Linked DNA regions of Callithrix jacchus. The protein of the gene in region 2 binds, or shares a complex with, the protein of the main gene of each other region. Links are inferred from orthologs where the notes say so. Each region holds a gene or a part of one and is shown on either strand. Other genes may lie near its edges. The genes, in order: RAC1, NCF2, CYBB, CYBA and RAC2.

Region 1 (6,353 bases), on a different chromosome or scaffold from region 2:
TTTAGGAGGCCAAGGTGGGCAGATCACGAGGTCAGGAGTTCGAGATCAGCCTGACCAATATGGTGAAACCCCATTTCTGCTAAAAATTTAAAAAGTGGTTGGCCCTGATGGTGCATACCTAATAGCTACTCAGGAGGCTGAGGCAGGAGAAGAATCACTTGAACCTGGGAGGTGGAGGTTGCAGTGAGCTGATCAGACTATTGCACTCCAGCCTGGGAGACGAGAGGGAAACTATGCATCCAAAAAGAAAAAGTTCCAACAGCTCACTGGGCAACATGGAGAAACTCCATCTCTATAAAAAAATAGAAAAATTAGCTAGGTGTGGTGGCACCCACCTGTAATCCCTGCTACTTGGGAGGCCGAGGTGAGAGGATCATTACAGCCCAGGAGTTCGGGACCAGACTGGGCATAATGAGATCCTACCTGTATTTTATTAAAAAAAAAAAAAAAAAGTTACAACTGTGTACAATTTCTTGATTTTGCTTAAAAAACATTCTTTAGGTCCGAGTCACAGCACACACACAAAAAAGTTCTTTATGTATATCAAGAGATAACTAAGAGGAAAAGAGGAAATATACCAAAATATTTGCACTTTCACCGTCTAACAGCCATTATCTCCAGAACTTGGTACAAAGCAGAAAGCACAGCACTAAATGAGCTAAAAACAAGTAACAGAAAATGCATATGCGACAAACGAGAACATGCAACACATTTTTGTTTTTGAGAAGTCTTGCTGTGTTGCCCAGTCTGGAGTGCACCGGCAAGATCTCGGCTCAGTACAACCTCCACCTCCTGGGTTCAAGCGATTCTCATGCCTCAGCCTCCCGAGTAGCTGGGACTAAAATTAGCCGCCACCATGCCCAGCTAATTTTTTGTATTTTTAGTAGAGACGGGGATTTGCCATGTTGGCCAGGCTGATCTCGAACTCCAGACTTCAAGTGATCTGCCCGGGGCTTCCCAAATTGTTGGGATTTCAGGCGTGAGCCACCGGGCCCTGCCAGCAACAGTTTTTGTTTTTTGTTTTTGTTTTTTTTTGGCTGAATGGACATTGTTATTGCCAAATAAAGGTATGGTGTATGATTTTAGACTTCCTTATAGTTTTAGAATCCGAATTTTCTAGAAGGATCTAATGTAATCGCAGATAGTTATCAGATAAAGAATGAAACAGGAGGAATCAATGCCTTCTGATGGCCTCAAGCAGGTGTTAGCAACAGGGAGCTTGGCTCCTGCAACCACAGGTTCCTCTTTTTTTTTTTTTTTTTTAAGATGGAATCTCAATCTGTAGCCCAGGCTGGAGTTCAGTAGCACGATTTCAGCTCACTGCAACCTCCGCCTCCCAGGTTCAAGCCATTCTCTGCCTCAGCCTCCTGAGTAGCTGGGATTACAGGCACCTGCCACCACGCCCGGCTAATTTTTTTTTTGAGACGAAGTTTCGCTCCTGTTTAGCGTGCAATGGGGCGGTCTCAGCTCACCACAACTTCCGCCTCCTGGGTTCAAGCGATACCCATGCCTCAGCCTCCCAAGTAGCTGGGATTACACGCATGTGCCATCACGCCCGGCTAATTTTGTATTTTTAGTAGAGACGGGGTTTCTCCATGTTGGTCAGGCTGGTCTCGAACTCCCTATCTCGGGCCACCAGCCCGCCTCGCCCTCCCATCCGTATTTTCGGGCCTCCCGCCCGCCTAGGCCTCCCATGCCTATCTCGGGCCTCACAAAGTGCTGGGATTACAGGCATGAGCCACCGCGCCCGGCCTAATTTTTGTATTTTTTTTAGTAGGGACGGGTTTTCACCAGCGTTCGTTTCTTCCCGGACGCTGGTCTCGAAATGCTGACCTTGTAATCCACTTCGGCCTTCCAAAGTGTCAGGTTTACAGGCATGAGCAACCGCGCCCAGCTACTACAGGTTTTTCTTTCCTTTTTTTAAGACGGAGTTTCGCTCTTGTTACCCAGGCTGGAGTGCAAATGGCGCGATCTCGGCTCACCGCAACCTCCGCCTCCTGGGTTCAGGCAATTCTGCCCCAGCCTCATGAGTAACTGGGATTACAGGCACACGCCACCATGCCCAGCTAATTTTTTTGTATTTGTAGTAGAGACGGGGTTTCACCTTGTTGACCAGGATGGTCTCGATCTCTTGACCTCGTGATCCACCCGTCTCGGCCTCCCAAAGTGCTGTGATTACAGGCTTGAGCCACCGCGCACTGAACCCCAGAGAAAGGACCCGCAGATCCCGCCACGCCTATGCCGCGTTAGCGCGCAAAGATGGCAGCCGCCGCGCCCCGTGGGCGGAGACAAGCGGGCCCGAGCACTTCCGAGCGTTCCTGAAGCCCAGAGGAACTCCGGGAACCGCGCGGGCGGGAGCTGCCCCACCCGGAACCTGGGAGCGGCGGCGCCGGCGCGGGGGAGGGGAGGCCGGATGTGAGTGGAGCGGCCATTTCCTGTTTCTCTGCAGTTTTCCCCAGCTTTGGGTGGTGGCCGCTGCCGGGCTTCGGCTTCCAGTCCGCGGAGGGCGAGGCGGCGTGGACAGCGGCCCCGGCATCCAGCGCCCTGCCGTCCTCAAGCCGCGCGCCCGTCCGCCGCGCCCCGAGCCCGCCGCTTCCCGTTTCAGCGCCGTGCCGCTGCCGCCGCGGCCCAGCGAGCGGCCCAGATGCAGGCCATCAAGTGTGTGGTGGTGGGAGACGGGTAAGTGCGTTGCCGGGTCTGGGCTGGGGGCCGCGGGGGCGGGCGCGGGCCGGGGTGGGCGCGGGCGGGGGGCGGGCCGGGATTGGGGCCCAGGCAGGCCGGGATCCCTGGCGGGCTCGCGTAGGCGGTGGGCCTGGGCCTGTGGGGCACGGGGCGGGGGCCGCGGGCGCCGGCTGCCCGGGCGGCGCGTGCCTGGTTCCGGCTCTCGCTGGGGGAGGGCTTCGCCACTCGCCGGCCGGTGGAAAAAGTGAACTCCACCCTCCGGCTTTCTTCCCGGACGCCGCCCGCCGCCCGCCGCCCTCCCCGGGAGCCCTCGTAGAGGAAGCGCTCTTGGAGATTTTTACCGTTTTTCCAAAAAGGGACCCTCTCTTGTTTTTTTGCTTGAACCTCTCGATCCCTGGACCTCGAGAGCTGTGTTGGGAACCCGGCGGTTGAGTCGATCATATTTGATGCGTGCCCGATTGAACTGGCCGCTTTAGTGCCCCAAAGTTTTCTTTAAAAATTTTTTTTTTTTTTTTGCAGAGACGGAGTCTCGCTGTGTTGCCCAAGCTGGTCTTGAACTCCTCCTGGGTTCAAGCGATTCTCCCATCCCAGCCTCTCAAAATGCTGGGATTACAGGCGCCTACGCCTGGCTAATTTTTAAAACTTTTTGTAGAAATGGGGTCTCACTGTATTTCCCAGGCTGGTTTCGAATTCCTGGCTGGGATCAGGCGAACCTCCTGCCTGTCAGCCTCCAAAAGCGCTGGGTTGACACCGCGCCCGGCCCCCAAACTGATTTTTGAGCAGGTTTTTTCGACTTACACTTCTGCCACTGTTAGGATTCCTAAAATTAATGCTTTCTCCCTTTCCGAGGATAAAGTTTTTAAGATGCTCCCTGGCAGGAGCCATCTGTGATGGGGACTGTTCTTTTATCTTTCTTTATTTTATTTTATTTTTTTAAACGTGGTGTGGTCATTGAAAAAAAAAAAAAACTTTCTTGCTTAACGCGTTGGGTATGGGATGTAGCAGAACTGGCTCCTGTGACTCCAGGCGTTGCTTTTCATGACTGTCCGTGTTGGTTACAGGCCCTCGAGAAGGACAAGACTTGTTTTATGCCGTTTTTTTCTCCCATAGAAACAAAAATCTCAGTGTAACCCGAGCAAAATCGCGCGTCTCAGGCGTCGCTTGTATAGGTTAGTGTTAGCAAGGAAGAATTACTAACAGTTTCGTCAAACTCAGAATGCAACTGGTACATGTTCGAGTAAAGTCGAAGGAAAGTTAGGGCATCAAGGTTAACTTGGTTGATATTCTTCGAATTTGTCATTAGGTTTTGGTTTTATGCCTCTACGTCAATTCATGGATTCTCAGTGTATTTAGATAATTATACTGTTAAGACATTTGCAATTGTTTCAGTTATCCTTCTTGCAATTCAGATGCAAGAGGATAATTAGACAACTGATTTTTGTGAGAGGCCCATCTGTCGGATTTGTCTTGCAAGTGTGAAGGATTATTAACGCCTCATAATTTTATGTTTATATGATAACTAAAAATTGTAACTTTCAGTTAGAGTACGTATGCTGTTCAAGCTTTTTTTTTTTTTTTGACTCGGAGTCTCACTCCGTTGTCCAGGCTAGAGTGCAGCAGTGTGATCTCTGCTCACTGCACCCTCTGCCTCCCAGGTTAAAGTGGTCCTCCTGCCTCGGCCCCCCTAGCAGCTGGGATTACAGGCACGTGCCACCATGCTTGGCCGGTTTTTGTAATTTTAGTAGAGATGGGGTTTCGCCATATTGGCCAGGCTGGTTTTGACCTCCTGACCTTGTGATCCTCCTGCCTCAGCCTCCCAAAGTGCTGGGATTACAGGCATGAGCCATTGTGCCTGGCTGGGCTTTACTTTTTTATTTGGGAAAAGTGTTCAGTCAATTGATTGATAGTGACATCAGTGAATTGTTTCATTTAAAAAAAAATTTTCGAGACAGGGTCTCTCAGTGTTACACAGGTTGGAGTGCAGTTGTGCCATCTTGGCTCACTGCAACCTCCACTTCACCCGCTCAAGCGATTCTTAGCCTCCCGAGTAGCTGGGATTACAGGTGCCTGCCACCACGACTGGCTAGTTTTTGTATTTTTAGTAGAGATGAGGTTTCACCATGTTGGCCAGGGTGATTTTGAATTCCTGACTCAAGTGATCTGCCTGCCTTATCCTCCCAAAGTGCTGGGATTACAGGAGTGAGCCATGGCACCTGGCCCACCTTTTCTTAAGAACATTTAACATTATTTGGATTTCCTTTAAGCTAAAAACGCTGAATCAAGTTTTTTTTTTTTTGTTTGTTTGTTTGTTTTTTTTTTTGAGATGGGGTCTCAGTCTGTTGCCCAGGCTGGAGTGTGATAGTGTGATCTCGGCTCACTGCCACCTCCATCTCCTGAGTTCAAGCGATTCTCCTGCCTTAGCCTCCTGTGTAGGTGGTGTTACGGGCGCGTGCTACCACCCAGCTAATTTTTTGTATTTTTAGTAGAGATGAGGTTTCACCATGTTGTCCAGGCTGGTCTTGAACTCCTGACCTCAGGTGATCTGTCCACTTTGGCCTAGGATGACAGGCCAAAGTGCTAGGATGATAGGGATGAGCCACTGTGCCTGGCTGACCATATTATTATTATTACTATTTTTTGAGACAGGGTCTCACTCTGTTGCCTGGGCTGGAGTGCAGTGGTGCAGTCTCTGCTTGCTGCAACCTCTGCCTCCCGGGTTCAAGCGAGTCTTGTGTCTCAGCTTCCTGAGTGACTGTGATTACAGGTGCCTGTCACCATGCCCAGCTAATTTTTATTGTATTTTTTGTTAGAGATGGAGTTTCACCATGTTGGCCAGGCTGGTCTCAAACTCCTGACCTCGCGTGATCTGCCCACCTCAGCCTTTTTTTTTTTTTTTTAATCATATTGCTGATAATTATTTGAACATTTCTAAAGCTAAAACATAAGCATAGCACATACATTTATTTAATACTAACAGATTATAGACCTCTGTTTGAATTGGCTGTTTTGTCTAGTCAAATAACTTGTTGAAGGCCTATCATGGAATGTGGATCCTCCCTTCAAATCCCCACCCCACCACTTATATGGGATAACCCTGAGCACATCACCCACCCCGGCAAGAGAGGCGCCTCAGCAGAAGGTCAAAAAGACTAAACTAGATGTTGATCATTAACTACCTTGCAGGTGCTCCTTGCTGAGTGCTTAGTAAGTGCCAGGTATTATTGCTTTGGTTTCACTACTGTGAGGCTCTGCGAAGGGAGTATTAGGCTTAAAAGCCTGTGGCCCTGAGTTTTCAGTCTTTTTTTTTTTTTTTAATTACAAGTGTTTGAGCAAGCACAGTCTATTTTTTAATACTATGTTTACTATTGATGCTGATTAGCGCTAAGTGATATTACAAGTGAAATATACCTGTCTAGGTCAGGTGGCTCACAACTGTAATCCCAGCACTTTGGGAGGCCAAGGCCGGTGGATCACTAGAGCCCAGAAGTTCGAGACCAACCTGGGCAACATGATGAGACCCCCCCCCCAATTTCTACTGAAAATATAAAAATTAGCAAAGTGTAGAGGCATGAGCCTGTAGTCACAGCTACTCAGGAGGCTGAGGTGGGAGCATCACTTGAAACTCAGGAGGCGGAGGTTGTAGTGAGCTGAGATCGTGCCATTGTACTCCA
Region 2 (6,080 bases):
AACAGATTGTAATTGCTTTTTAAAGATTTTTTTAAAAACATACAAATACTAAATGTTTATTGTAGAAGGCTCAGACATATGGAAAGGTTAAAAAGATAGTAGCCATAGTCCCACCACCCAGAGATGTTACTACTTTTGGGCCTTCCTATATTGTTACAGAGTTCCCTTTTGTTTTTTAAGAATGAAATTTTATAACCTGCTTTTTCAGCAGTATGCAATGTACATGAGCTTTCCTTTGCATTAAGTTTATTTCTATAGCATTTTTAACAGCTGTATATGGATAAGCTGCAGTGTATACATAATTAATGTTTTGTTATATATTTAGACTGTTTTTTTCTTGTTGTAAACCACTGAAATGAATATTTTTTGGTAAATTTTTGATTACTCGCTTTCAATAAATGCATAGCCATGAATTATTGAATCAAAGAATGCACTTTTTTTAAGGCTTTTGATATATGTGGTATTGCCAAATTGCCCTTCAGAACAGTTGTGCAACTTACATTCTCTGCAGTCTTTTACTAATTCTTAAGAACCTATTTTTACGTATTTATTTAAAATGATGTCCATAGCATCAACCGCATTGTCCATAGCTATCATGCATCCTAGGAGCTTCAAGAATCTCAATTGAATAGTAGTAAGTAATAACTTAGGTAAATGCATAATAATTATCTAGGCAACATCATGGGGAAAATTTCTTTGATTTTTTTTACAAGTCGTAAATAATGTCATTGAAATTTCATTTTTACCACCTTTTGCTTTTATGTGGGAGGTTATAATTCTGGATGCAAAGATGCTTTCCTAACTCTGATAATTGCATAATCTTTAAACCAAAGATAACAGTGGGTGGTAGAAACATTCTGTGAAGTCCTGACCAGTAGGAATGCTGGAGGTATCACATTATGTTGAATAGAAGGAGAAACGAATTGTTGAAAAGGTCAGCTAAGTGTTCCCTTTGCTTGGCCGGATAGGTAAGAAAATAACTGCTTTTGAAGCAGGCTTTTGCCAAGTAAAAAGATCATTACTAATGAACATCACTATCTTTCATATTTATAGTCAATTCATATAAATTACAGCCAGTTTTCTTTTAAGAAAAGTTGGTTTATTAAAATTTTAAAATAAAAAAGTTTTTAAAAAACATTACTTCTGAAGGATAGTTCAAGGTAGAACTTCAAATCCGCTTCCTTGTTTTATTGGGATTTTTTTTTTTCTCTTTGTGGCAAGAGTCTCACTCTGTTGTCCAGGTGGAGTGCAGTGGTGCAATCTCGGCTCACTGCAACCTCCGCCTCTTGGGTTTAAGCGTTCCTCCTGCTTCAGCCTGGGATTATAGGAGCATGCCACCATGCCCAGCTAATTTTTTTTTTTTTTTATTAGAGACGGGATTTTGCCATGTTGGCCAGACTGGTCTCGAACTTCTGACCTCAGGTGATCCCCGTCTCGGCCTTCCAAAGTGCTGGGATTACAGGAGTGAGCCACCATGCCTGGCTGTCTTATGGGGATTTTTTTTTTTTTAAGCTCAAGACATAAAATGTTTTCATGAATTGTTTTCATGAATCACCCTGATCTGTTAGCAAATCCTCTCAGCTCTTCGTTCAATTATGTCAATAGTCTATCTAGTTTTTAACCACCTTCACTGCTACTTTGCTCACCACATCCAGCCTGTATTATTGCAGTTACCTCCTAGTTGCTCTTCTGCTTCTACCTTGTCCCCTACTCCCACAGCTTATTCCCTGTAGCATAGATGCCAAAGCGAACCTGTTAAAATGTGAGTCAGATTATGGCACTGCTCTTAAACCCCTCCAATGTCTTCTCATTTCTCTCAGTAAAAGCCAAAGTCCTTACAATGCCTGTAGGCCTTACACAGTCTGTCCTCCCACAGCCTCTGACTTGCTCACCGGCTTTTCTCCAACAAATCCACTCCAACCACATTGGGTTTTTTTTCTATTCCTAGAACACACTGAACACACACTAATAGCGCTAGTCTTTTCTCTGTCTGAAACACTTTCCTCAGTTATCCCAACCTTTCCTCTTTCACGCCCTTCAGGTTCTTACTCAAATGTCACCTTCTTAATGTGGCCTTTCTAAAATTGTAAACCCTCCTCATACACATATGTCTAAATGTTCTGTTATTTATTTACCCACCAGGACCGGGCAGGCAGCATTGTCTTGAAGGTGCTCATCTCTTTTAAAGCTAATGATATTGAAAAGGCAGTTCAATCTCTGGACAAGAATGGTGTGGATCTCCTAATGAAGTATATTTATAAAGGATTTGAGAGCCCCTCTGATAATAGCAGTGCTATGTTACTGCAGTGGCATGAAAAGGTAAGTTATGAATTATAAATCTATATGACTGGTTCTTTTACAGTAGGGAATGACAGTGACAACCTCTTTCACCTAAATAACCATTTTGACTTGGTTGTACATTTTTGTTACTGCAAATAAAATGCATGAAAATTATAGTTCATATTTATGTTTACTAGGCTTAGTCTTAAGAGATTCTGATTCCAATACTTGGGTTTATTCAGCAGTGATTATTAGTAATTAAACATAATCTTGAACTTTGAATTAAATCAAAACTTTGTAAAAGGAAATAATAAAAATCAAGAATTCTTTCACAGGGACCAAAAGGTGAAAACAAGCCAAGAGTCATCAACAGACAAACAGCTAAATTGTGGTACATACAGTGGAATATGATCCAACCATAAAAATGATTGACACTCTGACACATGCTGTAACATGGGTGAACCTTGAAAACATACCAAGCGAAATGAGCCAAACACAAAAGAACAAATCTTCTAATTTTATTTATATGAAATAATCTACGATAGGCAACACAAAAGGACAGAAAGTCCTTAGAGGTTACCAGGAAGTAGGGAAAGCAAGGAAAGGAGAGTTAGTGCTTAATGGGTACAGAGTTCCTGCTTGGAGTGGTAAAAAATGTTTTGGAAACAGTTCATGGTGATAGCTACAGTACATTGTGAATGTAATTAATGCCACTGGATTTTACTTTTAAAGATGGTTAAAATAGCAAATTTTGTGTTATATGTTTTACAACTTTATTTTTTAAAGAATTAGGGGTTTGGAGGATTAAGAATTCTTAAATCATTTTTTTCTATTTTCACACGTGTATTTGGCAGTGTAGTTGCCTGTACACCATCTGTCAAAAAAAAGGAGTAGAAGGGATTTTGAACTTTGGGTAAAAAATTGAATAACATTTAAATAGAACCAACCATAAAAATATTCAGTGTTTGAAGTGTATGAGTGAAAACACACACGTAAGAAAAAAGTACATAGTAAAACTTGTTTATCCTTGGTCGAGTCACCTTATCCCTCATACACTATCAAAAAGAACTCCCATTTATGGATAGGGTAACCATTCCTCACAGTTTTCCCAGTATAGCCCCAATTTATGCCTGTTGTCCCATCATAACTATAAATAGTTACCCCTTTTACTCTAAAATATACCAGTTTGGATAGTAATTTATATGGCATCCTATTCATGGAACACTTTGTGTTGCTAGGCAACATATTATTTATGTTTTATTTCATCTTTACAACAACCCCGTGAAATATATAAATACCTTTATCCTCAATTTACAGATGAAGAGCCAGCTTTAAAACCCAGGCAGTTTAGTTCTAGTATAGCCTCAGGATTGTAGTGCACATTCATTGAGCACTTAGTATATTCCAGATACTCTTCCAAAGACTTTCTAAATATTAACTCATTTAATCCTCATAAAAATGGAGGGGAAACCTTGATATTATTCTTCTTTGGTAGCTGAGGAAACTGAGACATGTGTTATCTTCATTTCTTCCAAATGTCAGTCACCAGTTTTTACCAGTCTTCTAAGTATTTTTGAAATCTGTCTGTTCAAGTTTATCTAATGCAACTGTTCACAGCTTCTCTCCCAGTCTGTTGCCATAGGTTCCTGACTGGTTTCCCAGCTACCAGTTTTGTCTCCCTCAAATCTGTTCTCCACCCAGCCATCAGAATGATTTCTTTAAAATCAAAATTGCTCTTGTCAGTCACCTGCAGGATAAAGTCAGAGTTCCCAAGTCTAGCCTCATCTTCCATGTCATTCTTCCCTTCAGACTATAGCAGTGCCAGCCTTTTTCCTGAACACACCATATCGTTTCACACCTCTATACATTTGCTCATGATTTTCTGGTGTTAGCTTGTCACCTACTCATTGTTTTAATGTGTCATTTCCTCCAGGAAGCCTTAGCTGAAACATTCCTCTATACTGTTAATCTGGGTATATGCCTCTCCCTGGTACTTTAATAACACCCAAAGTACAACTCTCTTTTCATACATAAGATTAAAATTATATGTTTATAGGTCTGTCTCCTCGTGCTAGACTGGAAAATGCTGTATTTGTTCACTTTTATATCCCCAGCATCTGCCACAGAATACAGAGTTATTCCATAAGTATTTTTTGAACAGAGATAAACCAGAGCTCAGATCCCTAATACTTGATCATTACTTTCCATTTTTCAACTTAGAGTCAGAGTTAAAGTTTCTAAGTTCTTCGCTATTAAGCAATACCTTCTTTCTTTGGGAGAAAACAATTTGACAGAGGCTCCAGTTGAAGTACAAGTTGGGATGGGTTATCCCAGTTTGAATATTCTTCTGGCTATATGGTGAGAATGAGAGATTTGGAATTTCCACCTGTTTTGAGCAGGAACATTATGCTGCAGATTTTTTTAAACATTATTTAGAATTAATACAGAAGAATGTAAACTAGTGTCTCACTAGAATGTAGGCTCATAAGGGCAGGGACTTTTAAGGTTTTGTTTATTACTGTAACCCCAGTGTCAAGAACAGTACCGGGTATGTAATTGGTGCTTAAGAATTTATTATTTGCTAAATAATAAATTCAAGGTCTATAGCCATGCCCATTCCTTCTTCAAGAAAAATGTTTTACTTATGAGAATTGATCCTTTATGATTCTGTCAACATTTACATCTTGGTTTGTTTGTAGGCACTTGCTGCTGGAGGAGTAGGGTCCATTGTTCGTGTCTTGACTGCAAGAAAAACCGTGTAGTCTGGCAGGAAGTGGATATCTGCCTCGGGAGTGGGAATTGCTGGTACAAAGACCAAAACAACCAAATGCCACCGCTGCCCTGTGGGTAGCATCTGTTTCTCTCAGCTTTGCCTTCTTGCTTCCTTTTTCATATCTGTAAAGAAGAAAATTACATATCAGTTTTCCTTCAATGAAAATTGGGATAATATTGAAGAAATTATGTTACAATAGAAGTGTTTCATCCTCTCAAAACCATTTCAGTGATGTTTATACCAATCTGTATATAGTATAATTTACATTCAAGTTTAATTGTGCAATTTTTAACCCTTATTGGCTGGTTTTTTGTTTTGTTTTGTATTATTTTTAATTAATACTGAGAGATTTAGTCAGAATTTGAGGCCAGTTTCCTAGCTCATTGCTAGTCAGGAAATGATATTTATAAAAAAAAATATGAGACTGGCAGCTATTAACATTGCAAAACTGGACCATACTTCCCTTATTTAAGCAAAATATGTTTTTGGAATAAGTGGTGGGTGACTACCACTACCAAGCTGTAGCTCTGTCTTTGCTTGCCTCCAGATCATCTGTACTGTGGGTTTAAGTATGCTACTTTCCCTCAGCATCCAATAAGCATGGCCTCTCAGTTTCTTTGTGGTCACCCAGGGTTTAGAGCAAGAAGTCTTGCTCTATACAAATGTATCTATAAAATATCAGAGCTTGTTGGACATAAACATCAAACTTTTGTTCCAGTAATATGGCTCTGCTTGGAAAAACTGCAAATCAGAAAGAATGTGGAAACTGATGTAATTCACACTCCGGGCAGTCTCTGAATGAAATGCTACTTTCCTTAGAAATATAAAACTGCCTTAGACATTATGAGGTATATGTGTAAGTATTTAAGATACCATTTAATAGGCCCCATAAATGTCTTCAGTGATCTTCAGGGTAATTGGGATCTCAAAAGATTTGGTTCAGATCCAAACAAATACACATTTTGTGTTTTAGCTCAGTGTTTTTTAAAAAAAGAAACTGCCACACAGCAAAAAATTGTTTACTTTG
Region 3 (5,619 bases), on a different chromosome or scaffold from region 2:
TCTGAAATAAGGATTTGTAAAGCTTCATTTTGAAAACAGAAAATTAAAATTATGTTGAAAATTGTTTACCATGTTGTAATTTTGTGTGGTGGAAACAATTTTTACCATATTGCAATTTTGCTATCATAGACACAGATAAGATGTAAGTAAATAAGGGGACAGCATTCTCATTGGAATACTTTTGGATAACATCTTGTTTCTCATACTTATTTATATGGGAAGAAAATGAATATCTATTTTCTTCACAGGAAAACAAGTTTTCCTTAAAAGTTTAAGAAAAATACTTGTCTGGTTCAGTCACCTATAGTCTAGTAAGGGAAATTTTGCAGCAACTTTTTTTTGCTGATTTGTGGGATTATTCTTATAGTACAATATAAATGTCAGAAAAGGAGAACTGTTGTGGTTCCCTATGTTTCAAGACTTCCAAATCCAGCAAATGAGGAAAGATAGGGTGGAGGACAGGAAGAATTTGTGTGTTTTGCAAAGATAACCCATGGTAGGGTTTTGGCAAATACCTTTTGAACTGAGCTGAATTGAATTAAATTTTATTTGCTAAAGATATACTTTCTTGATGTTTCCTAAAATTATAACAAAGAGTTCCATTTACATTTATTTAGTTGTATATTTATTTATTTTGTGATAAGAAACAGATTAGCCTTCAGGAAAAGCCACTCTAGACTTGGAAACAGGAGATCAAATTTGAGAGGCAGCTTAGTTACTAACTTGTCTGAAATTTGGGGCACTTCGACTTTCATATAGATTATTACATATACAGCACAGAAAAGGTGGTAGATAATCGGGAAAACCATCTCAACCTTTTGGCATCGGAAAATTTTAAGACTCAATTTATGCCCCTTTAAACTCACTTCTTTTTCTTTTCTGCTCTTAACTAACCAAATAATGCCTCTGTGCCTTTCCCCTACACACACACACACACACACACACACACACACACACACGGTGAGTGGGGGAGATTTATGCACACAAACAACTTAGCTTCATTTTAACATCGAAAATGGTAACTTGTAGTTTCCCCAGTTAAAGACACAAACATTTGACTATTGAGTTAAGTAAATTGAAATAAATTGTAGGTCTTCTCTTTGCTGTAACTTTAATTAAAATAAACTGAGTAAAAGACTACTCTGATCAATGCTATAGAAAAGTTGGATAGACTTGTCCATGATATAGTTACACGCTGACCACTAGTAATTACTAAATCAATCAATACCTTGGTGATGACCACCTTCTGTTGAGATCGCCAAAACCGCACCAATCTCTCACAGAGATACAGAAACATGGGACCTACAATCCATTTCCAAGTCTGTAATCAGAGCAAAAATTAAAATGAGATACATAAAGTGGTAATAGATAACAAAATATTCAGAGGGGAAAAATTTCAGAAGTCAAGTTAATCTTTGTAGGCTTGCTTAAATATTTGACATTAGATAAATAAATTTTTCTCTAATGGAATATATGAAAATATCTGAAACTAAGATAATTTTGATCCAGTAAAAGTAAACATTCCCCTTAGTCACATTGGGGAACTGTACTGACAATATAAAACTTTCCCAAGAGGAACTGCTCACAAGAGTGGGATTTCCCCTCAGTGTTGCAACTACAGTTGCAATAACCCTATAACAAAGCAAGGTTGGTTTCAGAATTAACATTTCTCTAAAGGATAACTCAGCAACACAATATTTTTAATGCAACATTGTGATTGCTTTCTCTTAGCTATGTAGTCACAGTGACAAATTTGAAAGATGACAGATTTTATGCAAGAGTTTGGCTGTTTCTGCAATATTCTGATAAATTCTTGGAGTATGCAATGCACTTGCTGAATGGAGACAAACCCAGAGCTTTTCAGACTTTAGGTATCTCTTGGGTCAGAACGTGCAGTGTTTCAGAACACTGGAATTACTCTGTAACATTGTTGGGGGTACAAAAACATTGAGGCCAAACAGATCCATCCTGAGATGCAGCCAGCTGGATATCTGGTTTAATACCTAAAGTAGCAAAGAATTTTAGAAGGCAAAATTATCTAAAAGATGACTTTCTGGGATGTATTCTAACAGAAAAAAACAGAGTGCTTCCCATCATCTCACATATAATCTTTCTATGAAATTACTTTTACAGGAAACTTACTCTTGGAAATTGAGAGCACCTGAATCTCCCCATCTTCAGCCAAAGTTGAAGAATAATATAAACAGAGTTCTGCTGTTGGCCTTTGTTTTGATGGGATAGATATTTAAAACAGTCTCAAATCATCCATCTGTTTCCTGGGTGCTACTATGGAGCCCTACTGAATGGAGCCAGATTTGGATATTGCTGCTAGTATCTCTAGAAACTCTTTGAGGTAGGTTTCTGTTAAGGTGCTAGTACTCTGACTCTAGCTGTCATCAAGGAATGTGCCTTCCCCTGCCCACAAGAGGACTGGCAATACAGTTCCCTTTTTTATCCTTTCTATTGATGTCTGCATGTAGTGGAGCCAATTCACTGATTTGTCTGGTTGCTTTCGTTAATGGGATAGGATGCTTAAAGATATTAAGTCCTCAGATAGTATGCTGTGTCTAGAGAAAGAGTAATCCTATGCTAAGAGAGTAGGAAAAAAGAAAAGATAAATAGAATGGGATATTTCCCTTCATGTTGTACTGTGCTTCAGGAAAAAAAATAATCCTCTTCAGAAGCTCTGCACAAATGTTGATTTTTGCCTAGTTTTATACCAACGGCTAGCATAATAACCAACAAAGTATACTGTCTGCCAATGGGCAGAATGATATGATGATTACAAGGCCCATATCTTACTCCATGGAACAGCGATATGAGAATAAACAAAATGGAGCCCTTCAGAGCTCCCAATAGAGCAAAGAAAGTATTCATCATGCATTTCCTTGGTCATTTGCCGCATTTCTGCCTACCACATGATGCCATTGAGTGTTCATATGAACCTGGCTGTTTAGCCTCCTTTATGCCTCATAAACAGAAAACTCCTAATGCCTAAAGGTAGCCTTATGTGCCACCTCATCAATTTCCTTTTTAAATCTGAAAGCTGTACAGAAAGTATCATGTGCTGGTATCTCAAGAAGCCCCTTACTCCTTATAAATGATTTACTTGAGCTATTCAACTCAGCTCAAGATGGAATCCCTAGTGTCCCCTAAAAATCATTAGCTGGTGTTGTCATGAAGAAAAGAGATAGAACCTCTTGACCAAAATAGCACTTTTAAAAACACTATTTTTCCAAGTTTTATATCAGGATGTTGATAACAAAACAATGCAAAGCTTATTTTTCAAGAAAGAGTTATATCCAATAAGTATAGCAGAGAAAAGTAGACACATGTTTTAGCTGTTCCATGACATTTGTAATGGACATCTATGTAGATGTATAACATCTGTACATGTTTCTTAGGCACAGGTAAAGGATTGTCAGTAATGAACTGTAATAACAACAATGAACTGTACATACCATAGGAGGGTTCCCAGCAAACTGAGGGATTGGGCATTTCTGTATTTTTCCCCATTCTGAGATTTTGTTTTCACACTCCATTGGATTGTGCTCTTTCAAACTCTTTGCTGTCTGCCCACGTACAATTCGTCTGGGAGAAAAATGTAAGTCCAGACCATTTAGTAATAGGAAATTAAACTGTTTTATTAAAAGATTCTAGACATGTTTTCAGTGCTCTGATGTAGGTCCTGTACTTCTCACTTAAAAGTGATAGCTTATTGCTCCCTCTGAATAGATTAAAGGAAAGAAAATGTATAATATGCAGCAATAGAAAAAGACATATGTTCAATTACCAAAGGGATATTTACATGTAACATTACAGAGGGTAAGTCTTGGATCATTAATATATGTTCTCTTAAAGGGAGAATTTATACTTCTGTCTCAAGTATCATTTTCATTTACAAACAAATAAAAGCAGAAAAATTGCAAATCTAACAGAGTGACTGCTGGTCCATACAGTGCCTTTATGCAAATTAGAAAAAGGTACACTTTCTATAAGGATAGTCCTACTAGCACAGGGCTCAATCATCAAAGTGTGGGCTAACTTTATCGTCTTTGGCACTCACTATAGTGGATGACCCAGACAATCATACACAGTAGCCCTGAAGGTTACCAGAAGTGCCTTATTTGTGGGTTCAGAAATTATCTAAATTAAACCAACATTTTGAGACCAGTTTGAGATACTTAACATTATAGGGCTTATGCCATTCTCACTGACATCAACAATAATAGTGTGTACCTTGAAGTGCTCAGAGCCCATCAATTTCAATTCAATAAATGTTAGATGAGCAACTATCAAAACATAAGACAATTATTGGTGATAGAGGAAGGCACAATGTTGAGTAGACATCAAGGAACATAAATGACAGTGTCTTCAGAATACATAGGAAGAAAAGATGAGAGAGGACTCAAGATGGTGCTGTGAGAACAACCCAGGATTGAAGCTCTCGAATGCGCGGAGAGGGTAAGTCAGGGCCGCATTTCCAGACGGATCTTTGTTGCCCACAGAACGGGGAAATTCCCAGGTATAAAAGAGATGCGGGACGCCAGGCAGAGGTTTTGGCTGGTGCAGCCAGCAGCCAGCAGCCACCAGCCGGTGCGGTGGTGGCCCGTGCTGTAGCACAGCGGCGCTATACAGTGCTCCGCACAAAGTGCACTGGTCCGGGGGCCCTGTTGAACCAGCAACCTGAGACTTTAGAGGGCTGAACTTGAGACCGAATGGGACTTGGACAGTAAGCCAGCCCAGGAGATTCCAGGGACACAGCGTCTGGGGTAGCACAGTGGGACAAACAAAACAGCGATTCCAAACACTCCCGGTAAAGAGGTTCCCTGAGGGAGCAGCTCCGTGTGGGAGGGGCGTCCGCCATTACCGAGGCAATCCGCCCCTACTGAGGTACACGCCCATTGCTGATGCAGCCTGCCGTTGCCGAGGCAACCCGCTACAACAGAGAGACTCCGCCGCAGGGCGTAGCCTGTGGCAGCAGGGCAGAGACCGCAGCAGAAGGGCAGAGACTGCAGCAACAGGGCGAAACTCACACCAGCAGGGCGGAGCCTCGGCAGGCAAATAGTGACTAGACTGCCTCCTAGCTGGGCAGGACAACACAACGGGCACTCAAAAATAAAGCCCCAATCCCCCCAGACAGAGCATCTGAGAAAAAAAGGGTTTTCTTATGAGTTCTGTTGCAGCAGAATTAAACATAGCAGCCTAACAGCCCTGAATGAACAATGGAGCTCACAGCTCAGCAATTGAGTTCCTATAAAGTACAGACTGTCTCCTCAAGCAGCTCCCTGACCCCTTTATATCCAAAAGACTCACATTTGGCAGGCATCATTCTGGGACAAAGATAGCAGAAAAAGAAACTGGTAGCATCCCTCGCTGTTCCGCAGCTGCTATAGGAGCACCCCAGACAAGCAGGGCCTGGAGTGGACCTCAGCAGTCATACAGCAAAGGGGCTAGACTGGTAGAAGGAAAACCAAGTAACAGAAATACTTCATCATCAACAATCTGGGTGTCCATTCAAAGACCCAACTGAAAAGTCAGCAACTACACAGACAACAGGTGGATAAATCCACAAAGATGGGAAGAAACCAGCTCAAAAAAGAGGAAAACACCCGAAAC
Region 4 (6,356 bases), on a different chromosome or scaffold from region 2:
CCAGAGGGGGTGGGGTGGGGTGGGGCGGGACTCACAGGAGGTGCAGGATGGCCCGAATGTAGTAATTCCTGGTGAGGGGCCCGAACAGCTTCACCACGGCGGTCATGTACTTCTGCCCACTGTGGGAGGGAGGAAGGGGGACAGTGAGGTGGGCCTCTCCCACTCCGGACCGCTCCAGGGCACCCGGGCCTCTTTCCTCCCAGGCAACATGCCAGGCAGGCACGGGCCTGGGTTTGCCCACAAGGACCGAATGGTTGGTTCCAGAGCCTCCGAGCGAGGAACCAGACTCCACATACCAGACCCTGTGGGCCCTGCTTGGGCCCCACAGCCCTGGGACAGACCCCAGAGCATGCAGGAGGTGACTCACCAGCGCTCCATGGTGGAACCCTTCTTCCTCTTTCCGCGGGGGTACTCCAGCAGGCAGACAAACACGCCCGCCACACTGAAGCCATGTGGTTAAGGAACAGCCCAGTTCAGCCTGAGGGGCCACACGGTGAGCCCTCTTTACTAAGACAGCATGAAGAGGGGCCGGGCATGGCGGCTCACGCTTGGAATCCCAGCACTGTGGGAGGCTGAGGCGGGAGGATTACTAGAGCCCAGGGGTTTGAGACCAGCCTGGGCAACATAGTGAGGCCCTCATCTCTACAAAACATTTAAAAATTAGCCAGGTGCGGTGTCATGCGCCTGTGGTCCCAGACACTCCAGAGGCGGAGGTGAGAGGATTGCTTGAGCCCAGGTGGAGGCTGCTATGCGTCATGATGGCACCGATGCACTCTAGCCTAGGGGACAGAGCGAGACCCTGTCTCAAAAAAAAGTGGGGTGAGGCAGCCACTGCCTGAGGTCACAGGGCAGGAAACAGCCACAGGAGGTGCACCTGAGGCTGGCCCACACCTGCCCTCATACCACCCTGCCCATTGCTCCTTGTTGGGAGGTCTGGTAGGGCAGCAGGGCTGAGATGGGGCAGAGGAGGTGGAGGGGCTGGCCAAGGTGGATGACTAATGGGGATCCCAGCAGTCCTAGGGAGGCCCCAGTGCTGGCCCTGGCCCTGGCCCTCAGGGGACACCACCTGCCCACCCCTCGCTAGGACTCAGGCTGGCAGGTCTGCCACTGACCACCACATGGCCCAGGCTAGGGGCCTGGGCTGCCCAACCCCTGGACAGCCCGCCCTGTCTTCCAGCCTGGCTGCAGTGCTGGGGAGCGGAAGCAAAGTGCTCCCTGTGAAGTGGCTCCCAGGCTCTGCCCTGGGCATTCCCTGCCCACCCCCGCCTCAGGTGGAAGGATACATGGAGTAGGCTCCAAAGTACCACTGGGTGAAGTGCCCGGCAGTGGCCACAATGCCCCCGGTGATGAGGACTGCGGGGAGAAGTGGGTCAGGCACTGAGTGGCTCCCATCCTGGAGGCCTGGGCCACCCCCTTTCTCTACCATGGGCCACCAGGCCACCAAGAACTGTCTTCTGCAGTCCATGTGTTTGTCCCTACGGATCCCCACAGCACAGTGACAGAGTCGGGGACACCCCAGGAGGCAGCCCCCTGCGCTGGTGAAGAGCAGAGCTGGTGGCGCATGGCCTGGCGGAGTGGAGTGTGTGACGTGCCTGGGCTCCGAGGCCCAGGAGCGGCCAAGGGACGGCCTGACCTGCAGGCACCAGTGGGCCTGTGCTCCTGGGCTCTGGGACCCCCGAATGGACATACTTGTCACCGTGTCTTTGTTTGATGCATGAAAGCCTATATGCCCAGTGTGGTTTCTGCATCTGGGAGTGTCCCTGGCGCAGAGCTTCTCCAAACCCGGCAGCTGTCGGTCTTACTTTTGGTTCCGACTGATGGGGCCATTTCTGCCCCTTTCTTTTGCTTATTTTCTGATACTCCCTCTTACTGGTTTCTTTTTGGGGGGGGGACAGAGTCTCCCTCTGTCACCCAGGCTGGAGTTCAGTGGCTCTCCTAATCGCAACTCACTGCAACCTCCTGGGTTCCAGCAGTTCTCCTGCCTCAGCCTCCCAGGAGCTGGGACTACAGGCGTGCACCATCATGCCTGGATAATTTTTGTATTTTTAGCAGAAACGGGGTTTCACCACATTGGCCAGGCTAGTCTTGAACTCCTGACCTCAGGTGATCCACCTGCCTTGGCCTCCCAAAGTGCGGGGATTACAGGCGTGAGCCATGGTGCCTGGCCCTGCTTACTGTTTTCTAGACAGGATCTTGCTGTTACCCAGACTGCAGTGCAGTGGCACAAACACAGCTCATTGTGCCACAGTCACAGTCACAACCCGCTGGGCTAAAGCAGTCCTCCCACCTCAGCCTCCCGAAGTGCTGGGATTACAGGTGTGGCCGCCTCACCCTGCCAGCATTGCTCTTGTCACCCCTTGTTCTTCCCTGAAGATTTCCTATCCGTGGTTTGAGCTCAGCTACACATTAACTCCCTGACCTTGCCCATCTGCCTTGGAGGAAGGCAGGGCAGTGTCCTTCAGTCCACTCAGCCTGTCATCCGTGCATCTTTGGGGAAGTGTCCCAGTCCTGAGCCTGCCCTCCGAAAGAGGGTGCAAGGCTGCTGCTGGTGCCACCAGGGAGGCCTGAGGACATACTGTGGCACCCAGCCACACTTATAGAGCACCTGCTGTGTACAGGGACTCTGTCAAGGGCCCCACTCTCTCAGGGCCAGCTGCCTCCTGGGGCTCCACGTTCTGGAGACCTCCCCAAGCAGGTGGCATTTGAGAAAGAAATGGGACAGCCATGAGGCTCTGCAGAGGCAGCAGCTTGTGCCAAGGCCCTGGGCATGCTTAGAACATACAGAACAGAAAGGAAGCCCCGGCAGCTGGAGGAGGGGGTGGGGAGGCTGGGGTGGGCAGATCAGGGCAAATGTGCAGCAGGGTGGGATGTTGGACTGGGCTGGGCAGGGCGGTCACCCGGTGGTTTCCGTGCCTTGTGAAATCCCAGGCGACTCCAGATGAGGAGGGCTGAGCCCCACAGCATGAGGAGCCCACCTTCCCACCCCAAGCCCAGGGGGGCCTGATCCCCAGCCCAGCTGGCTACCGAAGGGAGGGGAGCTTCTCCCGATGTCCAGGCCAGAGCCCCCACTCAGGGGCCTGGGGGGGGGGCGGCGGCGATCACCCCGGAAACCACCGGGGCTGAACCGCCTCTTTCCCTGCGCTGCAACTTCCTCCTTCGCGGAGTCGGGGACTGAGGGAAGCGAATGGGGGAGGAGGCGCCGCTCCGCTGGGTCTGCAAGCGGACTGTTCGGGGTCTCGGAACTCCTCCTTCCAGCCCCCGTTCCCCGCACCCTCCGGGCCTGATCCCATCACAGCCCAGCCGCCTGGTGCCCCACTTCCCCGCCCGGTAAGTAGTCTGAGGTCCCCGGCTGGGGTCTCGGGACACCCCCAGGCTGCAGCCTCCACCGCCCCTGCCGCGCACTCACTCAGGCCGGACGCCAGCGCCTGCTCGTTGGCCCACATGGCCCACTCGATCTGCCCCATGGCTGCGCAGACCCGGCTGGGACACTGCTAGGCGCGCACTGCCGCCCCTGCGCTCCCGGCCCAGTCCCGCCCCGCCCCGCCCCGGCCCCGCCCCCAGCCCCCCAGGTGACCGCGGGTGGGCGGAGACCCGCCTCTAGGGTGCGGGGCTGTCCCGGAGCCTTCTGCCCTCGCCCTCTCCAGACGCGACCGAGGCTCAGGAGGGGCTCAGCGTGGCAGCCCCAGGCCAGGCGGGGCGTCTGCGTTTCCCAGCTTCTGCTCTCCCGCACTGACTAGTGCCCCTGCCCAGCGCAGGACTTCCAAAGTACCACTGTGTCCTTGTTGTCCTGTGTCAACAAGCCTTCTAGGAACAGCAGAGAAAGGTGTGAAGGGTCAGCTTCCTGAGCAGATCCGCCTCTCCCGAGCCTTGGGGGTTGGGGGCCACCCCTACAGCTCAGGACACCTCTGCACCCTGATGCTACAGGGGCCAAGGGTGGCCTCCCCGTGGCAGCCTGAGGCCCTGCCCCCATTTCTTCACCCTGACTCTAGGCTGGCACAGGCGTGGCCTGAGTCTGACACTGTGGGCCTCCCCTCGCCATCACTGCACTGTGACTGTGACTCAGGGGGAGGGGACAGGGACAGCTGCCCTGTCATGTCCAGCCTGCGGATGGGAGGCAAGGGTTGGTGTAAGGGTGAGGAGAGGGCAGCAGAGGTGATAAGTGGGAGGTGGGCCCAGTGCCCATGGGAAGACTTTAGGGGCGGCCTGAGGCACTGTGGGGTTTCAGGGGAGCCTCCCATGCCTCTACCTGGCTCCCCAGGCCCTCACAGGGCACACCTGGACTCCCTGCAAGTCCCAGGCCACTCTGAGCAGGAGCCCAGGAATGCTGGTTTAGGAAACAGGAAAACAGGAGGACCTCACTGAATCTAAACAACAAAAGAAGGAAAACAGCAGGAGACAGAGGCCGCAATGCCACTTTATTCCCACGGCCACGAGGGCCATGCTGCTGCCCACTCCTGCCACCATTCCCGTAACACCTGGGCCTGGGGGTCTCATCGGAGACACTTGGTGGCTTCCTGAGGCCCAAGGTGGCTGCTGCAGCACAGCGACCCCTTCCCTGGCCCTGAGGGATGCCAACTTCCTGCCGAACTCCCGTCTTGGAGCAGTGGGAACGGCCGGAGCGCGGTGAGAAAGCCCTTCAGCCCTGCCGCACCTGGCTCTGCCAGCTTTCATGCCCCAACCCCATCCATCCTGGCGAAGTGCTGGTGTAGCTGAGGCACTCGGTGGGGGCCTCTCCTGACATCCGGCAGCCGCAGGTCTCCCCGCACTGCCCCATAGCACGCTGCCCATGGGCCCGAAGCCAGGCCACCACACACAAGTCCCAGCGGTCCAGCCAGTCCACCACACCCGCTTTCTAGCTCTGGTGAGGACACCCCTTCTCCAGGTGGCGTGCAGTCCTGCGGAGGCGGTCAGGCAGCTGGCTTCGGCAGGCCATCAGGACCCAGGAGGTGGGTGTAGGGGTCATCCAGGATTTGAGGCCCCGGCCCCACCTGGAGGTAGAGATCCATGTCAGGTCACCAGCAATGGCAGCACACTGCCCTGTGCCCCAGCATGTGTAGGGGCTGGACACAGGAGAGCAGCAGTGGGTCCTGGTCAGAAGCTATGCCACCCAAGTGACACCCACACCCAGCTCCTGCAGGCACAGATGCCCCTGCCAGCTGGGGGCCCTCTGCCTGGGGCACTGCCTGTCACTGGGTAGACAGAGGACCACAGTGCCTGGAAGCACACAGCCCTGTGCCCGCGGCCCTTGAGAGGAAGTTGAAGGCAATGGCTCGGGCGGGTGTGATCGCTGACAAGGGCTTGGCCCCCTGAGCAGGTCAGAAGCAGGAGTCCTGGTCTACTGGGCCAGTTGGGGTGGGGGGAGCCCCAGCAGCACCCATCCCAGGCACTCCCCTCCTGTCTCCCTGGGAGCCTGCATCAGACTCATCCTTCCACCCCAGCCTGGCCCAGTCCTGCTGCTCTGGCCTCGCTAGTGGCCTGCAGCCTCCTGTTTGAGAGCAAATGAATGAAATGCAAGTGCCAAAGGCATTCTGGCCTGAAACACGGTAGGGACAGGGAGCAGGGCTGAGCCTGGGCGGGCCCCTCTGGCAGGAAAGGAAACCCCACAGGGTACTGGGCCTCACCTGAGTGGCGATGATGTACTTGACCCCACCAGGAGTCGGCTCCATGGCCAGCGCAGCCTTAAGTTCAGCGGGGAGAGAGGCTGGCCTCACCTGCAGCCCCCTCAGAAACCTGGAAAAGCAGGGCAGGGGCATGGTACACATGTGCATTTCTCTAAGCGTCTAGGACAGGCAAGGCCAGAGACAGGAAGGTATTCCTAGCTGGCAGGGCCCAGGGAGGGGAGATGGCAGGTGGCTGCTATGGAGACAGGGATGGAAAAGTGAAGGAGGTGGCTTCACAACCCTGTGAATGTCTCCACCCATGGGATGCGGGATCCTATGCTCTCGAGACGGAGTCTCACTCCGTTGCCCAGGCTGGAGTGCAGTGGCATGACCTTGGCTCACTGCAACCTCTACCTCCCAAGTTCAAGCAATTCTCCTGCCTCAGCTTCTGGAGAAGCTAGGACTATAGGTGCCCACCACCTTGTCCAGTTAATTTTTGAATTTTTTGTAGAGATGGAGTTTCACCATATGGGCCAGGCTGGTCTTGAACTCCTGACCTCAGGTGATCCACCTGCCTCAGCCTCCCAAAGTGCTGGAATCATAGGTGTCAGTCACCACGCCTGGCTGGAGACAGTAAGTTTGAGGTTATGTGGTAAACAGCTATGTCCAGGCTGGGGCTGCTCTGAAGGGACCTTCAAGAGGCCTGGGCCCGTGTCTGACCAAGGCTGCTGCCCAGCCCCCTGGGGTCACAGCTTA
Region 5 (6,079 bases), on a different chromosome or scaffold from region 2:
TTCCATTCAGGTCAACTCAAAACACATGTGTTGTGTGTAAGGCAAGGTGTGTATGATACCACATAGAAGGTTCTGTGCTAAGACAATGGGGAGACCCAGAAAGGACTGGCCGTGGCTCCCTGTCCCCCACAGGCTCATGATCATGGGAGAGATCAGATAAAGTCTCTCTGGGGAGGGGAGACCCCTTCACCATAGATCAGAAAGGCTTCCTGGAGGAGGGGGCACTGGAGCTGGGTATGGAGGCTTTAGGCAGGTGGATGTGGGGAGAAAAAGCACTACGGGGAGAGGAACAGCTTGAGCAAAGGCCCTGGGGTAGGAATGTGCAGGGAACTTGTGGTGAACAGTAGGGTCCAGGGGAGGCAGGGCCTGAAGCCAAGTAATGGGTGATGAGGCCAGGCAGGAGGTTGAGTGAAGGCCATCAGGGGCCTTGAGTGCCATGCTAGGGAGTCAAGGAAATGTCCTAGGAGTGACGTGGGCCCCTGAGGGCTGGCCGGAGAGGGGCTGGTGCCTCCCCAGTCATCCGTCCCTCCTGAGTCTGACGCCAATACACTCCCGCCATGTCCAATGACAGCCCTGCCTCCACGTCCTGCAATAGAGCGCAGGGCCTCTGAGGCCTGCAGATGCCTCTGTTCTGCCCCTCAGCATGCCACGGCCCCAGGTGTCCCTGCTCCCTGGGGCCAGACCCTCTGGATCACCTCCTCCTGGAGCCCAGCCTGCCTCCACAGAGGCTCCTCTCCCAGCCCCTGCTCCTGCCCAAGCCCGCCGTTTCCTCTACAGCGCTTTGCTTGGAGACCCAGCCTAAAGGCCACTGCCTCCTTCCTTCCTCCCTTTCCACCCCTTCCCCCCCCCCACCCCCAGCACTTCTTAGTGCCAGTGCTGCCTTCTTGGCTGGACCATCAGGCAGCTCTGCTCCACTGGAGGCTGTGGCTCTGGCACCCCATCGGGTGCCCACACAGGGTCTGGCCCACAGGAAGTGCCTGAAAGCGGGTCGACTTGGTGACGTTCTCTCCCCTCCTCCCAGCACCTGCGTGTCCCCAGGAACTCACACGGTGGGGATGTACTCTCCAGGGAAGGCGTTGGTGGTGTAGCTGATGAGAAGGCAGGTCTTGCCCACGGCCCTGAAAGACAGGAAGTGCAAGAGGGCGGCGATCATGGGCTCTGCTGGAGACATGGGGAGGTTTCTGCCCCATCCTCTGCGAAGACCTCAGCATCCACCCAGCCTAGCCCTCTGGGCCCTGTCTCCCTGTCTGAGACACCCCATGTCTGTGTTCTCACACCTGAGAGCCTGCAGGTCCTGTGCGTGTTTGTTAAAGTGGAGACTTCAGGGTCCAGCCCCAGAGATTCTGACCCACAGGTGTTCGCAGAGCTGGGAATCTGCATTTCCCACAGGTTTCTCCAGGGACCAGAGATGTCACACAGAGGGGGTACCCCACAAACTCAGGCCATGCCGAGGGGCCCCGACGCCTGGCCTGGGCTTCAAATCCCAGCTCAGTGGCATGACCCTGGACGAGTCACTTAACCTGCCTCTGCCTCAGTTTCTCCATCTAGAAAATCAGGATGAGCCCATCCCCATAGGAGTGTGCTGAGGAATAAATCCAACGATGCCTATCGAAGCACCTAGCACAGGGCCTGACGCACGGCAGCAGCCGGTGGCTGCTAGGGAAGGCCTGACCCAGCTCTTCCCTCTCACCTCCCCATGGAGCAGAGCAGTTACTAGACCAGGGTTTGAGTCAGAATGGGCTGGGTTCAAATCCTGTGAGGCTTTGGGCAAACTGCATAGCTTCCCTGAATTCATTTTCCCACCTGTAAAAACCTATTAGGTTTGGTGAGAGGACAAATAGAGAAGGCCGGGCTAACCCCAGAGCTGGTACCTAGGAAGGAAGGGATCGGTAATCGGAGAACGTCATTATTTGCGCACCTCCCCCACCCCCAGCATTTGAGACTGGGAGCAGGTGCAGGTAGCTCAGCCAAAGCCCGGAGACCAAGGGGCAGCTCTGGGCCTTCCCCTGCCCTGCTTGGTTCTGTCACTTCCTGCTCAGAGGAGACAGCTCATCCTCTCCTCTCTACCACAGTCCTCCCCGGGGCCTGTCCCGAGGTAACTTTGAATGACTGGGACGTTAACCCTTGACTTCCGCCTGCCCCTCTTCAGATCAGATAGAAAGCAGAAGTGAACAGGCCCGGGCCGGCGTGGGCAGATAAGCGGCCATGTATCAGAATCAGCTGAGGCTGGTGGGCAAACGGGCCCACCCCCACCTGGATGAGTCAGAGCCAAAGTGGGGGCCACAGGACCCAGGCCAGGACAGCTGAGTCTCTTACAGCCTTGGGCTGCTCCTCTGTAGCATGGGAGGGCTGGACAAGAGGCTCCTTCCAGCTAGAACATGCTGCGATGGACTTACAGAAAGCCCCAAGCTGGGCCTGTGGGTTGGACCCTAAGACATGGCTGCTGGCAGGCACGACAGATTGACAAACGGGACCTGTCCCTTTATTTTGTGTTTTTAAGAGACAGGTCTTGCTCTGTCACCCCGTGGCACAACTATAGCTCACTGCATCCTCAAACTCCTGGGCTCAGGCGATTCTCCCACCTTAGCTTCCCGATAGCTGGGACTACAGGCGCGTGCCACCACTCCTAGCTTTTAAAAATGTTTTTGTGGCCGGGCCTGGTGGCTCATGACTGTAATACCAGCACTTTGGGAGGCCAGGCAGGCAGATCACAAGGTCAGGAGTTCAAGACCAGCGCCTGAGCAACATGGTGAAACCCTGTCTCTACTAAAAATACAAAAGTTAGGGAGGTGTGGTGGCATACACCTGTAATCCCAGCTACTCAGAAGGCTGAGGCAGGAGAATCGCTTGAACCTGGGCAGCGGAGGCTACAGTAGCCAAGACTGCGCCACTGTACTCTAGCCTGAGTGACAGAGTGAGACCCCCCCCCCCCCGCCAAAAAGATAAAAAAAAGTTTCTGTAGACATGGGTTCTCATTGTGAATGCCTAGGCTGGTCTCAAGCAACTCTCCCCACTTGGCCTCTCAAAGCGCTAGGGCTAAAGGCATGAGCCACTGCACCTGGCCTAGACTCGTCATTTTACAGATGAGGAAACCGAGATTCCCCAGGAGACATGACAGCCTGGGGGTCACTGGGATCTGACAACTGAGAAGGTGTCAGCCCAGCCTGCCCCTCCCCTGCAGATCCCACAATCGCCCTCCCATCCTGCGGCCACCTCCTCCCTCTCCTCTCTGTCTCTCAACGTCCCCTTGCCCCTTCTGCTCCTCGCCCACATCCCCCACACATCCTCCCCAACCCAGCAGGCTGAGGGGAAGGGAGAGAGAGGGGGGGGTGGTACCAGCAGGGGGTGGTTATTGAGCACACATTACAAGCAAGACAGCCACTCAGCTTATGTCCAGCGACCCCACAGCATCCCTAGGGCATAGGCCTCCTCCTCCCAGATGGCTGAGGTTCAGAGACATGCTGTGACTTGCCCAAGGCCACACAGCAGCACCAAACCAGTGACGAGAGCCCAAGTCAGCCTGGGGACGAAGGCTGAATTTCTGGTTTCCCACTTCGCGGGTGCATCCACAGAGTTGAAGGCTGAGGCTCACCTCCGTGGGAGACCTGCCCCCAGCTTTGGGGGTGCAGGTAAGGGGCCTGGGCACTCCCAGCCATAGTCCTGCACCCTCCACCCAGATGGCTTCCAGGGTGGGTGGGCTGAAGAGGGTGAAGCTGTCCTCAGCCCACCCCGGGGTGCTAGCTGTGAGCCCTAGGAGAAGAATGAAGCGACTCCTCCAAGCTGCCTTCCAGGGACACCTAATTCTGCAGAGCCAGGGGCTTCCCCAGGGACACCAGGGCGGGAGGATCTCACAGCATCCCAGTTGGGGGCTGTGAGGAGGTCCAGCCAGGCACCTACCCATCTCCAACCACCACACACTTGATGGCTTGCATCGTGTCCGGGGCCTGGACAGTGTCAGTGGTGACAGCTCAGGGCCAGGCGCGTTTCTGCAGGCACAAGGGGTGTGGAGGCTGGCAAGGCGCCTGCTGAAGAGCAGCAGTGGTGGGGTGGGAGGAAGCGGAAGGGGAACTTACCCAAGCTGCTGCCCTCAAGGTCGTTTGCAGGGGGTGGAGCATTCGGTTTGGAGGAGCAGCTGGTGGGCGGGGCGCTCAGGTGCTGGCTGAGCCCTGGCCATCCCTGCAGCCCCCCACCTCCGGCCTCCCCTCTGTGGTAGGAGGCTCAATTTCTGACCACTGGGCAGGCCCAGAGGCTGTTCTCCAAGAACGTGAGGCTTCCAAGTACACCTCAGTTCTAAGCACAGCATTTAATGAGTGCCTACTGTGTGCCAGACATACTACCAGGTGCTAGTGATCCCAGGATACAAGAGACAGCTGGTCCCTGGAGTTTACACCCTTTGCAGAGGGGGAGGCAGGACTTCATCACGGGAGATTAGAAAGCAGGCAGGAAGTGACTGGGGCAATGGGGACTCTACAGAGAGGACCTCAGTGTTACCGAGAGGGAGAGCTGGGGGCCTGCAAGCAGCATTGGAGCTGGCTCTTGAAACATTTGCTCTAAAGAGGGTACTCCAGGTTCACGGAGATTTCTTGAGCCAGGACCCAGGGGCTCCGCCAGGGAAGGGCCTGTGTGGGAGGATGGGGAGTGATGAGGCAGGAAGGGAAGGTGTGGTCCACAGATGGAGAAAGGCATGTTGAGGGGAAGTGGCAGGCAGTGCCCTACAGGCACCAAGCCTGTCCTGAGGCCGCCCTGGGTCACCAGGCACTCTGGATCTAGGAACTGTGGCCCACTTCCCTGATGTGAAAACTGACGGTCTGAGAAGTCATTTGACCACCTAGCCTGAAACCACCCTGACGCTCAGTTTACTCCAAGCTCTTCTCCAACTGGAGCTCTTGGCTCCAGCTGCTGTTTGAGGGGACAAAGCCTGCATTCTCCAGCTCTCAGGGAACTCCCTTAGCCACGAGGGCTCTCCGAGGACACTCGGGAGAACATTCGATCACCCCTGTTGGCACCAAGTTCACTGATCGTCGTGATCACTCCCCAACCCCACGCCTTTCCAGGTCCAGGGGGAAGGGACAGAGGCAGGGAGAGGAAGAGCCACTGGTCATCCACCCTGGACCGTCCCTCAGGACAAGCCAGGAATCCCACAGGAGTGTGCAGAGGGCCAGGGCCCGCTGGCTGGCAGAGCCCAGGATTCTCAGCAGGCTCCTGGAGGCCGAGCCCTTTCAGAGCAGTTCACACAAGTTACTGCGTTCACAACACTGATTTTTACAGAGAGGAAAACACAACTTCCTAAAGCGCCTGCCCAGCACCGGGCAAGTCAACTGTGACACTTACCAGCAAACCAGTGTCTCTCCAACGCGCTTTGCATACGCTGTGCTGAGACCTTGGGTGGGAGACGCCAGGCGTTCCCTGTGGCCACCCTGGGGCTTCCTCCTTCACTGCCCCTTTATTTTTCCACCCACTGCTAGTCCCTAGGGCAACCTCCGTGTTAATTTAAAAAACAAAAGGATAACGTATTAAATGCAGTGCGGTACCCCAAATTAGAACCTGGAACAGATTTTGGGAGGCCGAGGAGGGTGGATCACAAGGTCAAGAGATCGAGACCATCCTGGTCAACATGGTAAAACCCCATGTCTATTAAAAAAATACAAAAAATTAGCTGGGCATGGTGGCGCGTGCCTGTAGTCCCAGCTACTCAGGAGGCTGAGGCAGGAGAATTGCCTGAACCCAGGAGGTGGAGGTTGCGGTGAGCCGAGATCGCGCCATTGCCCTCCAGCCTGGGCAACAAGAGAGAAACTCGGTCTTGAAAAAAAAAAAAAAGAACCTGGAACAGAGAAAGAACATTCGTGGAGCTTCCATGAGACAGGAAGAGTAAGTTCTGGTGTTCTGCCACACAGTGGGGTGAATAGAGCAAATCACAACGTCGCGAATATTTCGAGAGAGCTGGGAGAGAAGGTTTCAGATGTTGTTGCAGCAGAGAAATGATACATGTTGAAAGTGATGGACGTGGGAATTACCCGGATTTGATCATTATATGGCTATGCATGCATCGAAACATCACATCGTACCCCATAAACATGTA

Evidence for each region.
Region 1: NCF2 (region 2) and RAC1 share a complex: the UniProt entries of both Homo sapiens proteins name them as parts of the phagocyte NADPH oxidase complex. The link is inferred for Callithrix jacchus from reciprocal best matches to the Homo sapiens genes NCF2 and RAC1.
Region 3: NCF2 (region 2) and CYBB share a complex: the UniProt entries of both Homo sapiens proteins name them as parts of the phagocyte NADPH oxidase complex. The link is inferred for Callithrix jacchus from reciprocal best matches to the Homo sapiens genes NCF2 and CYBB.
Region 4: NCF2 (region 2) and CYBA share a complex: the UniProt entries of both Homo sapiens proteins name them as parts of the phagocyte NADPH oxidase complex. The link is inferred for Callithrix jacchus from reciprocal best matches to the Homo sapiens genes NCF2 and CYBA.
Region 5: NCF2 (region 2) and RAC2 share a complex: the UniProt entries of both Homo sapiens proteins name them as parts of the phagocyte NADPH oxidase complex. The link is inferred for Callithrix jacchus from reciprocal best matches to the Homo sapiens genes NCF2 and RAC2.

Annotation. Positions count from the first base shown.
Region 1 is NC_133503.1:16,112,157-16,118,509, forward strand, and holds the start of RAC1 (ras-related C3 botulinum toxin substrate 1), read left to right. Parts: upstream 1-2,437; 5' UTR 2,438-2,644; coding exon 2,645-2,679; intron 2,680-6,353. UniProt on the Homo sapiens protein: Plasma membrane-associated small GTPase which cycles between active GTP-bound and inactive GDP-bound states.
Region 2 is NC_133519.1:41,800,087-41,806,166, reverse strand, and holds the start of NCF2 (neutrophil cytosol factor 2), read left to right. Parts: upstream 1-2,140; 5' UTR 2,141-2,142; coding exon of another isoform or gene 2,143-2,319; intron 2,320-4,979; coding exon of another isoform or gene 4,980-5,042; exon of another isoform or gene 5,043-6,080. Other genes in the region: ARPC5 (actin-related protein 2/3 complex subunit 5), read left to right, coding at 2,143-2,319, 4,980-5,042. UniProt on the Homo sapiens protein: Subunit of the phagocyte NADPH oxidase complex that mediates the transfer of electrons from cytosolic NADPH to O2 to produce the superoxide anion (O2(-)).
Region 3 is NC_133524.1:38,582,948-38,588,566, reverse strand, and holds part of CYBB (NADPH oxidase 2), read right to left. Parts: intron 3,592-5,619; coding exon 3,462-3,591; intron 1,322-3,461; coding exon 1,229-1,321; intron 1-1,228. UniProt on the Homo sapiens protein: Catalytic subunit of the phagocyte NADPH oxidase complex that mediates the transfer of electrons from cytosolic NADPH to O2 to produce the superoxide anion (O2(-)).
Region 4 is NC_133521.1:46,306,650-46,313,005, forward strand, and holds the start of CYBA (cytochrome b-245 light chain), read right to left. Parts: upstream 3,505-6,356; 5' UTR 3,465-3,504; coding exon 3,407-3,464; intron 1,354-3,406; coding exon 1,284-1,353; intron 443-1,283; coding exon 368-442; intron 120-367; coding exon 36-119; intron 1-35. Other genes in the region: MVD (diphosphomevalonate decarboxylase), read right to left, coding at 4,908-4,988, 5,622-5,730. UniProt on the Homo sapiens protein: Subunit of NADPH oxidase complexes that is required for the NADPH oxidase activity that generates, in various cell types, superoxide from molecular oxygen utilizing NADPH as an electron donor.
Region 5 is NC_133502.1:208,154,108-208,160,186, forward strand, and holds the start of RAC2 (ras-related C3 botulinum toxin substrate 2), read right to left. Parts: upstream 4,044-6,079; 5' UTR 3,933-4,043; coding exon 3,898-3,932; intron 1,119-3,897; coding exon 1,047-1,118; intron 1-1,046. UniProt on the Homo sapiens protein: Plasma membrane-associated small GTPase which cycles between an active GTP-bound and inactive GDP-bound state.